3 linked regions of the Oryctolagus cuniculus genome follow. The protein of the gene in region 1 interacts with the protein of each later gene in a pairwise test. Links are inferred from orthologs where the notes say so. Each region holds a gene or a part of one and is shown in the gene's direction. Other genes may lie near its edges.

Region 1 (2,532 bases):
CCTCACTGCTCTCCCAGGCCATCAGCAGAGAGCTGGATCAGAAGTGGAGCAGCCAGGACTTGAACCGGCATCCATATGGAATGCCAGCGCCACAGGCAGAGGCTTAACCTACTGCACCATAGCCCTGGCACCTGTTGATAAGTTTTGATTTTTCTTTATCTGTGACATTTTGGTTTCAGAGTATTTTTTCTCGTTAGTTTTAAGTGCTTGGTATTTAAATGTGTCACCATTTTCTCTCTTTCTTGCTTACCATTTCTCCTTAAGTTGGAAAGTTTATTTCAGAAGGAAACTACTTGGATGTTTCTGTGCCACAGAATCACAAAAACGTCTTATTTCCTAACTTCCACAGATGAGTTGTTTTGCACTGTCATTTACTAAGTTCAGACATGCTGTTCTTCATTGTTCTAGAAGGAAGATGTGCTGGGCTCACAGGAGCAGCTGCCTCCAGCTCCTTTAACACCGCCCATCTCCCAGATGGATGCTGCTATTGGGTTGCTGATGCCTCCTCTGCAGACCCCTGACAACCTCTCGGTTTTCTGTGACCACAACTACACCGTGGAGGACACGATGCACCAGAGGAAAAGGATTCAGCAACTGGAACAGCAGGTCGAGAAACTCAGGAAGAAGCTCAAGACGGCACAGCAGCGATGCAGAAGACAAGAGCGGCAGCTTGAAAAGCTGAGGGAGGTCGTGCACTTCCAGAAGGAGAGAGACGACTCGTCGGAGAGAGGCTACGTGATTCTGCCAAGTGACTGCTTTGAGATAGTGGAAGTGCCGGCATGAGCAAGAGACATGCGTTGAGTTTTTAATGGGGCAACACCACACACCCTCTTTTAGCCTGTAAAGGAGTTTCCTTTGAAAAAAATAACACTTGATTATTTGTATAAAAGCAATTCAGAATATTTTTTTAAAAAAATAAATTAGATATATACTGTAAAATTGTAAGGTTTTTGTTTGTAATTTCAGGGTTTTTACATTTTAACAAAATATCTTTGAAGTTATAAACTAGCCTCAAACTGCCAATGTAAGTTGGTTTCAATATTGGGGATTTTTGTTTTCTAGAATATTTATAGAAATAATGTAAAAGTAAAAAAAATGAGAACAGTGCAGTAAGTTTTAAGTTTAAAAGTTAAAATTCATGCTGTTTATTGAGAAATTTAGTTATATTTTAAATCAAGAAGGATCAGATCACGGGCATAACGTCAAAAGATATATAAGTATATACATACCTATACTCACAGATTCTTACAGGTGAAGTCAGGAGGTTTCATTTACCATTCTGAGTCAGTTGTCAAATCAGCAAGTCAGTACTTGAAAAGACTTGAGTGTCTTTGCAGCAGAAAATGAACATCTACTTAATAAGTAACTTTATGAAGAACAGATTTTTTTAAAGTAGGCCTGTCTTTTTTCCCCACTGTTAAGCTAGAAGTGTGTCTTCAGTGAAGGAAAAATCCTTCAGTAAACAAAATGAGGCTTTGTTGTCAGTGAGTAGTAAAAGCTAGGGCCTGACCACGACGCTTGTTTCTGTAATGACCCCTAGGTAAAGGACAGCCAGCTCCCTCCTGAGGTGATATCTGTGTCCAAAGCTTTAACAAATGTGGTACTAGAGTTTGGTTTGTTTATATTAATTTTTCAGTAACATTGATTTTAGCCAAAACTTCACCAAAAAAATCATTTCTTCTAACAAGTTAGAAATTGTACCCCGTTTATCTGAATGAGTGATTTGTATTCAGAAGCAGCCTCATGTATGATGTTTATTTGCTGAATGTTGAGATTTAAACACTGAGGTTTCTGTTCAGACTGTGAGTTGTGTTCTGACTTTGTGAGAAATTTTACATATATTTGAAATGGAAATATGTTCTGAGTAAACAAATACTGCTAATAGAAGTAACCTACTTAGATTTAGAATAACTATTCCAACTCTGTCACTTTTATAAATGCACTGAGGTAGTTGAAGAGTAACAGACCTTTCAAGACAGTATTAAAATGTGGAACCATTTTGTGTCTTTTGTAGACCTCGTTTTCATTGTAATTCACTGCCACACTGCCATGGATAGTACTTTGATTCCTGATATTTTAGGAACCAGTGTCTCAAAATAGGAAATAATGATAAGAAGATTACGTGAAGTCACATAGTCTACTAGCAACATTTAGAACTAACTCAGTTGAATGCATGTTCACTGGTTATTTATGGAACTCGTAGCTGTTCATCTCTCTAGCAATTTCTGGAAGATACATGGGTAGATACTTTGCCAAGTATTTGTCTTCAACCTAAATTTTTGTCTTTCTACATGAAAGATTGTGTGTGTGTGTGTGTGTGTCCCCAGAACTGAGAATCCAGATTAGGATATAAAAGTATTAATCATAATTAGCATCTTAGACTTATTATTTAATCTGGAACTGCTTTCTTTTCATAACAGACTTAATTTTTCACTTGGAGAGAACTGAACAAGCAGCATGCACACCAACTGCTTCCGTTTAAATAATTTATCATAATTTAGCATAAGGAATTTGAGGTGCAGGCGCTTTTTT
Region 2 (4,490 bases), on another chromosome or scaffold:
GGAGCTGGGTGGGGCTCCTGGCTCCTGGCCTGGCCCAGCCCCCGATGCTGTGGCCATCTGGGGAGTGGACCAGCGGCTGGAAGATCTCTCTCTGTCTCTAACTCTGCCTTTCGAATAAGTAAACCGTAAGAAAGCAAAGAGCCTGGCGATGCAGGATTGAAAGCGAAGTTGGGGTTAGGGATTTTAAATACATACAAATCCGACATAGTGATAGGTGGGTCACGCGGATGTCAACATGCTGACACACGCCTGTGTCCACCGAGGGCCCAGAAGCACAGCCCACACCCACGTCTTGGATTCTAAACCCCACGCTCCACCACGGGGACCCCCGCTCCGGGGACAGGCGGGGATTCCCGGCGAGGAAGGCTGAGGGCTCTCACTGACCCGGGGAAGGGCCTGGCCTCTGCAAGCCGCAGCGGTGACGCGGGCACCCCCACGGAGGAGGCCGGCACAGGGTGACGACGCGCTCCTGGCACGTTGTCCGCAGCACGCTGGCCGCCCACACACGAGAAGGAGCTCGGCAGGGCGGCTCCGGGTCGCGAGGACAAGGCAGCCCCCAGACGCGGCGCACCCAGAACGCGGCCCCGCTTCCGCGCCGGGCCTGTCCGGTCCCGAGAGGACCGGGGCAGCGTCCGAGTGGCCCGGGCGCGGGCGGGGAGCTCCCGGGGGCGGCACCTGCTGCCTGGGCGTCCTGAGCAGGCAGACGAGCCCGTGCGCCCCGATCGCACACTTCCTGCCCGTGCAGGGAGTCTGCCCGCTGCGATGCGCCCACAGCCCGGGAGCCTGCGCGCAGAGCCCACAGCGAGGACGGCGCCAGGCCGAGCCCCGGCTGCTCCACTCGGATCCGGCTCCCCCGGGGGAAGATGGCCCAGCCGTGTGGGAGGCCCGGGTGAAGCTCCTGGCCTCAGCCCGGCCACTGCAGCCCCGTGGGGAGTGACCAGCGGGCAGAGGACCCCCCTCCCCGTCTCCCTTCCTCGCTCTGTCCCTGCAGGAAAGGACGTTGGCCCACGCGCTTGGGCCCCCGCTCGGGGCACCTGGAAGCAGCTCCGGCTTAGCCGTGGCAGCGGATAGAGACCTTTCTGTGTCTGGTTCTCCAGCCCCGCCATTTCCGCTAAGTCAAATAAATCCAAAAGCACAGGTCGGGCGGGGCCTGAGTGGCCCGCTGTGGACGCCCACGCCAGGTCTGCAGCACCCACGCACCCCCCCCCCCCAGCCGGGCAGCCCGGCGGCGCCTCTGGAACCTTCTGGAGCCCAGCGCCGGCCGGGACTTCAGGGGGCGGGGGCCGGGCCACGGGGCGGGGGCGCACGGACGGCAGGCGCGGGCGACATGTTGCATGGGGGGGGGGGTCTCTAAGTTTGGAATTACTTCGAGACTACATTAACTTGTTTAACAAAACGGAAGGCTCCGGCTCCACCGCGGGACAACCCTGGGCAGGGGGCGGCCCGGGGGCCCCAACCCCGCCCCCAGCCCCCAGGCGCCTCTCCACAGAACCGGCCTCGGCCGCGCTCGACGCCGCTGCCGCTCGCGAGAAGCTGCGAGACTGTTCGGGAGGGGGCGGGGTGCCGGGATTGGCCGGCGGACAGTGACGTCATCGGAGCGCCGGGCCGCGGCGCGCCGGGATTGGCCGGCCGGAGGTGACGTCGCAGGGGCGCCACCGGGACGGCCGGGCTGTGACGGGTCTCCGCGGCGGCGAAGTGGCGGGGCGCTGGGGGAGTCGTGATGCCGGGGCTCGGGCGCCGTGCTGCTCCCGGTGTCGCCGTTCTGGGGGCCTCGATCCCGGGGACTGACCGCGAGAGGGGCGCCCGCCTCCTGCCGGCCGCCGCAGCTTCTCGGCTCCCGGACGAGGGCCAGGTACGGGGCTGGGCCCCTGGCCGGCGATGTTGCAGGAGTGCAGGGGTCGTAAACCCACCCCCAGCCGAGCCGCAGCCATGCACGGGCTCGCGGCTGCTGGCTGTCCTCGCTGCGGGCACCGGCCGGGCGGACAGGGCGCCAGCATCACGGCAGTGACCCCGCGGAGTGACCGCAGGCCCTGGGCGGTTGTTTGAGCGCCCGCGCTCCTGGTGGGTGAGGGTCCAGCCGGGAGCCGCGTGCGGGCGGAGGCCGCGTGCGCCGCGCCGTGCGCCGCAGTGGTGTCCGAAGCCGGCAGCTGCGCTGGGGTGGGGGGCCGCGCCGCAAGGTAACCTGTCCCGGGTGGGCGGCACACGGCCTCCCGTGGTCACTTAACTTTTTAGAAAACGATTGATATGGAAGTCGCAACCCGAACCCCAACCCCAACCCTGGCGAGGGAGGGAGAGTCAGAGGCCTTCCGTCTGCGGGGTCACTCCCCAGCCGAGGCCGGGCCAGGTCACAGCCAGGAGCGGGAGCTTCTTCAGGCTCTGCCCCGTGGGTGCGGGGGCCCAGGCTCTCGGGCCGTCTTCTGCTACTTTCCTAGGCGCGCTGGCAGGGGGCTGGGTCAGAGGTGGAGCAGCCGGGACCCCAACCTGTGCCCGCATGGCACCGCAGTGCCGGCCCCCAGCCATTTAACTTCATGAAAATCAAGTAGAATTTGGAATCCGGCTCCGGGTTCGCTCACTGCACCGTCTCGGGCTGGGGGGGGGGGGGGTGTCGGTCGTTGTGACGTCACCGCGACGCCTGGTTCTCTGGACCTGCCACAGTGGGAGGAAATAGGACTGTGTCCTCATGGGCACGGGACCGTGGGAGCCGGGCGGGAGCCCGTTCACGGGGCACAGGACCGTGGGAGCCGGGCGGGAGTGTATTCACTGGGCACAGGACCGTGGGAGCTGGGCGGGAGCAGGTTCCCCGGGCACAGGACCGTGGGAGCCGGGCGGGAGCCCGTTCACGGGGCACAGGACCGTGGGAGCCGGGCGGGAGCAGGTTCCCCGGGCACAGGACCGTGGGAGCCGGGCGGGAGCCCGTTCACGGGGCACAGGACCGTGGGAGCCGGGCGGGAGCGTGTTCACTGGGTACAGGACCGTGGGAGCCGGGCGGGAGCAGGTTCCCCGGGCAGAGGACCGTGGGAGCCGGGCGGGAGCCCGTTCACGGGGCACAGGACCGTGGGAGCCTGGCGGGAGTGTATTCACTGGGCACAGGACCGTGGGAGCCGGGCGGGAGCGTGTTCACCGGGCAGAGGACCGTGGGAGCCGGACGGGAGCGTGTTCACCGGGCAGAGGACCGTGGGAGCCGGGCGGGAGCGTGTTCACCGGGCAGAGGACCGTGGGAGCTGGGCGGGAGCCCGTTCACCGGGCACAGGACCGTGGGAGCCGGGCGGGAGCAGGTTCCCCGGGCACAGGACCGTGGGAGCCGGGCGGGAGCGGGTTCCCCGGGCACAGGACCGTGGGAGCCGGGCGAGAGTGTATTCACTGGGCACAGGACTGTGGGAGCCGGGCGGGAGCCCGTTCACCGGGCACAGGACCGTGGGAGCCGGGCGGGAGCGTGTTCACCGGGCAGAGGACCGTGGGAGCCGGGCGGGAGTGTATTCACTGGGCACAGGACTGTGGGAGCCGGGCGGGAGCCCGTTCACCGGGCACAGGACCGTGGGAGCCGGGCGGGAGCCCGTTCACCGGGCACAGGACCGTGGGAGCCGGGCGGGAGTGTATTCACTGGGCACAGGACTGTGGGAGCCGGGCGGGAGTGTATTCACTGGGCACAGGACCGTGGCAGCCGGGCGGGAGCGGGTTCCCCGGGCACAGGACCGTGGGAGCCGGGCGGGAGCGTGTTCACCGGGCAGAGGACCGTGGGAGCCGGGCGGGAGTGTATTCACTGGGCACAGGACTGTGGGAGCCGGGCGGGAGCCCGTTCACCGGGCACAGGACCGTGGGAGCCGGGGGGGAGCATGTTCATGGTACTTGTTCACTGGTGACTGTGGCCTTGGTGTTGTGTCCAGGTGATTCAGGTCACGTGGGTAGAAATGGGAGGAAGACTAAGGAAAATGTGGCTGAGAGGCGGCCCCCAGTGCGCGGCCACAGTGTGCTGGGTGGTCAGTGGACGCTGCTGCCTGGCCGGGGCAGGGTGGACGGGGGGTGGCTCAGCATCTCACGCCTAGGTCTGCGCTGGCCGGGGCTCAGCCTCCTGCCCTCTCTGGGCGGCGGGGCGGGGAGGGCGACTCAGGCCCCGCCCACTGGCCAGGCCAGACTGCCGGGTGGTCTGTCCACTCTGGCTTCCCTGCGCCCGGCTGGAGACCCTCAGCGGTGCTTTATTGTTTGGTGGATTTGGGGCACCAGGCCGTGTCCCCAGCAGCAGGCCCCGGTGGTCCCGGTGGTCGCGGGACTCCCACCTCCCCCACCTGAGGGGCAGGTGCGGGCTGTGTGCTGTGTGTGAGTGCTGGTGTCTGAACTGCAATGCCTGGTTCCAGATGCCCGCGTCCCGGTGAGCCCGCTGTGTCACAACTCCGTCCCGGTGAGAAGGGGCAGAGGTGGACGTGGGGTCAGCGAGCCCGTGGACGGGGACTGCAGACGCCACCCTGGGAAGAGTTGGGAGCAGGTGCAGGGGC
Region 3 (4,540 bases), on another chromosome or scaffold:
ACACCAGGGGCTGAGCCCGTCTCTCCCCAAGTCCCTCTGCCACCTTGTGGGGCTGGGATGGTCACCAACAGAGTCTCTGGCCAGAAGGTAGCCACACCCTTCCCCACAGGTCTGGGAGCTGTTGCCCCCCCTGGAAGGGACCAGCCTACGTAACCCTAAACCCCTCGCCTAGGACCGCCTTCTCGCTGGTGGAGTGGCCTGGACTGTTTTTGGATTCAATTTGGGAGGTTTGAAATAGGAAACACTTCTTTTTCTTTTTTTTTAAAGATTTATTTATTTTTTGAAAGGCACAGAGTTATAGAGAGGCAGAGGCAGAGAGAAAGATTGAAAGAGAGAGAGAGAGAGAGAGAGAGAGAGAGAGAGAGGTGTCTTCCATCTGCTGGCTCACTCCCCAGATGGCCACAACAGCCGGAGCTGTGCCGATCTGAAGCCAGGAGTCAGGAGCTTCCTCCAGGTCTCCCACGCGGGTGCAGGGGTCCATCTTCTACTGCTCCCCCAGGCCAGAGCATGGAGCTGGATCGGAAGTGGAGCAGCCAGGAATCGAACCGGCGCCCATGTGGGATGCCGGCACTGCAGGCAGCGGCTTTACCCGCTACACCCTAGTGCCGGCCCCAGGAAGCACTTCTGATGTCCAGCTGGACGAGCACACCTATGCAAACAGGGCAGGGCCTGGACAATTCCTTGTTCTATTGCATCCACCTGGGAAGGATTAAAGAAACAGAATGACGGGTGGGGAAGAGAACCAGGAGGAGGAAGAGTTATTAACCTGCTACCTCCTTACAGTCATAACCTCATAAACTCCAGCAGAGGTCAGGAGGGCTGCGCTTAGCCATCGCCTCCCCTCGGGGATCTCGAAACTTCCTTCCTGAACCCCCAAAGTGGGTCCCCTCTTCCCTTGCATTTCAGGGTCCACGTTGGGAAGATGTGGTGTTTAACTAGGCTTCGTGGCTCTTCATGCTTGGGTAAACTTATTTCATGTGGGAAAACTACGTGTACTGGGCCAGCGCTGTGGCGCAGCTGGTTAAGCCACAGCCTGTGGTGCTGGCACGGGTTCGAGTCCCGGCTGCTCCACTTCCGATCCGGCTCCCTGCTAACGTGCTTGAGAAAGCAGCAGATGCCGCGCTCGTGGGAGACTCGGGTGGCGCTCCAGGCCCCTGGCTTTGGCCTGGCCCAGCCCCTGCGGCCACTTGGCGAGTGAACCAGCGCAGGGGAGGTTTCTGTGCCTCTAACTCTTTCACGTGAATAAAAATGTATCTTATAAAACAAACAAAAAAGCTCTCCGGACCCCCGCAGGTGGAGCTGACCACCCTTCCCGGGGGGTTTTTTGGGTGGATTCTGTGACCCCAGACTCGTTCTGGACTCACTTCGGGGACACCGCGTGCATCCGGGCGGCCCCCACTCCCTGCGGCCGTGGGCCCCGGAGCCGGACGCCTGGACAGCGGCGGGGCGGCGCGGGCACGGCCTATCCGCCCGCGCTGGCCCATGTCGTGTTCCCCACAGCGGCCACCACCCCCGGGGCCGGCACTCGGCCTCTCACGGCCCACTCGAGAGCGCGCCGCCGTGCAGGGCGGCAGCGCCCGGCGGGCGGCTCCAGGCCCGAACGCCGGGCCGGGCCTTCCGCGTTGACCTCATCCGGCCCGCGGAGCACGGGGCGCAGACAGCGAATCGCCGGCGCGACCCGCAGGGAACGCCCCGCCGACTCTGCCCGCCGCGGAGGCGAGCGACGCGTCCGCCGAGCTGCGCGACTCGGGCCGCGCCCGCCGGGCGCTCGCAGGCTGCAGGGCCGTCAGCCGCCGCCGCCGCCCGCGGGCCGACCCCGCCCAACTGCCGTCGAACCTTCTGGAAGCCGCGCCCCGGGGCAGCCCCCTCCGCCGACAGAACCGGACGCCGACGCGGGCCCACCGCGGCCGTGGCGGCCAGGGGGGCGGGGAAAGGGGCGGGGCCCGAGCGGGGGCGGGGCCCGCACGGGGAGGCCGCGTTCGATTCGCCCCCCGCGCGCAGGCCCCGCCTTGCCGGCGCCATGGCTCCGCCTCCGCCCTCCCCCTCCATGGCGCCGCCCGGGCTCATTCATTCCGCGCCGGGCCTTCCAGACACCTGCGCGCTCCTCCCGCCGCCTGCAGCCGCCGCCGCCGCCGCCGCCAGCATGTCGGGCCCCGCCGCCGACACGCCGTCCGCCATTCAGATATGCCGGTAAGAGAGGGGCCCACCCGTGGGGTCTGCGACCCCCGCCCACCGAGGCCGCCGGCATCCCCGCCCCGGCGCCGGGGGATCGCCCCTCGAGTCCCCGCGCCCTCGTCTCGGGGCCCGGGCCGCCGGCGGCGGGGATGCGCCGGCGATGCTGAGGTAGACGCGGCCCGGGGGGCTCCTCCCACCACCTCTCGGCGCATCTCAAGGGCGGCGGCCGCGCTGCCGCCAGCACCGGCCGTTTGGGGGGAGGAAGAGGGCCGGGGCCAGGACCGGCGAGGGGGTCGGTGCACCCGACATCTCAGACCCCGGCCCGGGATGCCCTCTGGGCCCCCGGAGCTTCGGGATCGCCCCCTGGGCTGTAGTGCGGAAGCGAGGGTGGAGGACCGGCGCCGGAGCCCCCCGGAGGCCGCTCGCCGTGGGTTTAGGGAGGGGGCTGCGCCCGCCGGCCCCACAGCCCCCCGCGGCGGGTTCGGAGAGGGCAGGTGTGGAGGCCCAGAACCGATCAGGGCTCTTGGCCTGGAGCGGCTTACCGCTAAGGAAAGGGAGCTGCGCGGGCCCGAAGCATCTCACACAATAGGAGGCAGAGTCGTCTCGGCGACCCCCACCACACCCGCGTGTCGGGATAGAGATGCGGGCCCCAGCGGCCGCGGGGGGTGGGAGCTTGCTGGTCTCCAGGCAGGAGGACGGGAGGGCAGCCTCAAGGTGACCGGCAGGCCGCCGGGCGCAGAGGCATCAGTGCGGGCGGACAAGGGCGAGGCCAGCTCTGTCCTGCTGGGGGGACCAAGCCGGGTTCCCCACGCTGGGCATCGCGCTGACCTGGGGTCCCAGCCGTGTCCACCCTGGGCCAGTTACTTTCCCGAAGGAGCTGGTTCTCTGGGAGCCTGGAGCTCCTGCCCCCAGCTCCCCGTTCTCTGGCTTGGCCGAGACCCCTTTGTTGGTCTTAAGGTCAATCTTGGCTTTCCTAGCGAGGGGAAGCGTGCATGGGGGAGCCCTGTGCCCCTGGCTGTGTGCTGTCCTCTCAGGTGGTGGTGGTGGGGGGAGGCAGGGATAAAGATAATGAAAGTGACTGATGTTGGCAGACAGACAGGCCCGCAGCCAGATCCCGGAACCGGGCTGCCTTGTTTGCAAGGAGCCTGAGCTCATCTCCATCTCGTTGGGTTCCCTGCAAGGCTGCAGGGTCGGGACCTCCGTGCTGGCGCTGTGTGGAGCCAGCGGTTGAGGATCCCGGGGGCTGAGTAGTTCTGGGAGGGCCACGCAGTGTTCGTCCCACCGTTCTCCCAAATGAAGAGTTTGTTTGCCTGCGGAAGGCTGGGCGTGTTTACTTCTTCAGGGTGGGGAGTAGCCTGGGTGTATATATATATTGTCTTTTTCCAACTAACAGGAAAACAGATTCTTGTAAGGCTTTAGATGCTCCCGTAAGCCTGCATGTGCACTCTCTCGGGCGCTGCACCTGCCGGGCCGCCTCGCGTGTCTGGTTCACAGCTGCACCGTCTCTGAAGTGGGTGCTTGGCCGTGAGGTCTTGTGAGCAGGGTGCCCGGCTGAAGTGGTCCTCGGGCGCAGGGCACGCCTGCCCCGGGAGAGGGTGCTGGGCAGAGGGCTGTGGTCAGGTGGGCTTGACCCACAGAAGCCCCAGGACACTGAAGAGTGGACGCGCTGGAGTGGGGAGCCTTTAAGGATACCCGAGCTGATGCCCTGCATTGAAAGCGGAGCCTCCTGGCCCGACACATCCTACCAGGCCCATGAATTTAACAAGACTCCACGGGACACTGCCAAGGAGCAAAGCGCTGGGAGGGAAAGCTGACCCCGGGGAACCCTGAGACCCTGCCCTGAGGGGGTCACGGTTCAGCAGGGCGAGGATGCCCACGCCCCTGTCATTCTAGACGGTCAGGGCGACGCCGTGCTGCAGGCAGGATGCTCCAGGATCAGAGGCCTTAAAGGCAGGCGAGGGCAGCGGTTACTGGCAACGCCTCTGTCCCTCGCTCGCCGCGTGACCGCTCTGTGCTCCCATTTGCTCACGGGTGGTTGTGAGCGCTCACTAACAGAACGTCTAGCTGGGGTCTGGCGGATGGCTCGCACTGCGGGCGACACCCATGTTCAAGCCCCAGCTCTGCCGCCAGCGGTGGGACCTCATCTGTAAATGAGTCACGGTGAGGGTGAGCACCTTTGGCCCAGTCTGGCGTAGCGCTCACAAAGGGAGCAGTTCCCCTTTGAGAGCCGGCACTTTGGGCAGCCAGACCACTGTGCGACGTTGTCCCTCCTTCCTTTGTTCCAACCCGAAGAGATGCAGTGTCTGGTGCAGCACTTAACGTCTCGCCCTCTGACTTATTTGGAGTAGCGATGTTTAATTAGTGA

Evidence for each region.
Region 2: the proteins of THAP1 (region 1) and CHLSN interact in binary tests that used the Homo sapiens proteins (3 or more experiments, as listed by UniProt). The two-hybrid records come from large-scale screens. The link is inferred for Oryctolagus cuniculus from reciprocal best matches to the Homo sapiens genes THAP1 and CHLSN.
Region 3: the proteins of THAP1 (region 1) and ACOT7 interact in binary tests that used the Homo sapiens proteins (3 or more experiments, as listed by UniProt). The two-hybrid records come from large-scale screens. The link is inferred for Oryctolagus cuniculus from reciprocal best matches to the Homo sapiens genes THAP1 and ACOT7.

Annotation. Positions count from the first base shown.
Region 1 is NC_091433.1:92,915,102-92,917,633, reverse strand, and holds the end of THAP1 (THAP domain-containing protein 1), read left to right. Parts: intron 1-408; coding exon 409-783; 3' UTR 784-1,999; downstream 2,000-2,532. UniProt on the Homo sapiens protein: DNA-binding transcription regulator that regulates endothelial cell proliferation and G1/S cell-cycle progression.
Region 2 is NC_091450.1:36,496,474-36,500,963, reverse strand, and holds the start of CHLSN (protein cholesin), read left to right. Parts: upstream 1-1,648; 5' UTR 1,649-1,852; intron 1,853-4,490. UniProt on the Homo sapiens protein: Hormone secreted from the intestine in response to cholesterol, where it acts to inhibit cholesterol synthesis in the liver and VLDL secretion,leading to a reduction in circulating cholesterol levels. Acts through binding to its receptor, GPR146.
Region 3 is NC_091438.1:161,105,595-161,110,134, forward strand, and holds the start of ACOT7 (cytosolic acyl coenzyme A thioester hydrolase), read left to right. Parts: upstream 1-1,698; 5' UTR 1,699-2,020; coding exon 2,021-2,190; intron 2,191-4,540. UniProt on the Homo sapiens protein: Catalyzes the hydrolysis of acyl-CoAs into free fatty acids and coenzyme A (CoASH), regulating their respective intracellular levels.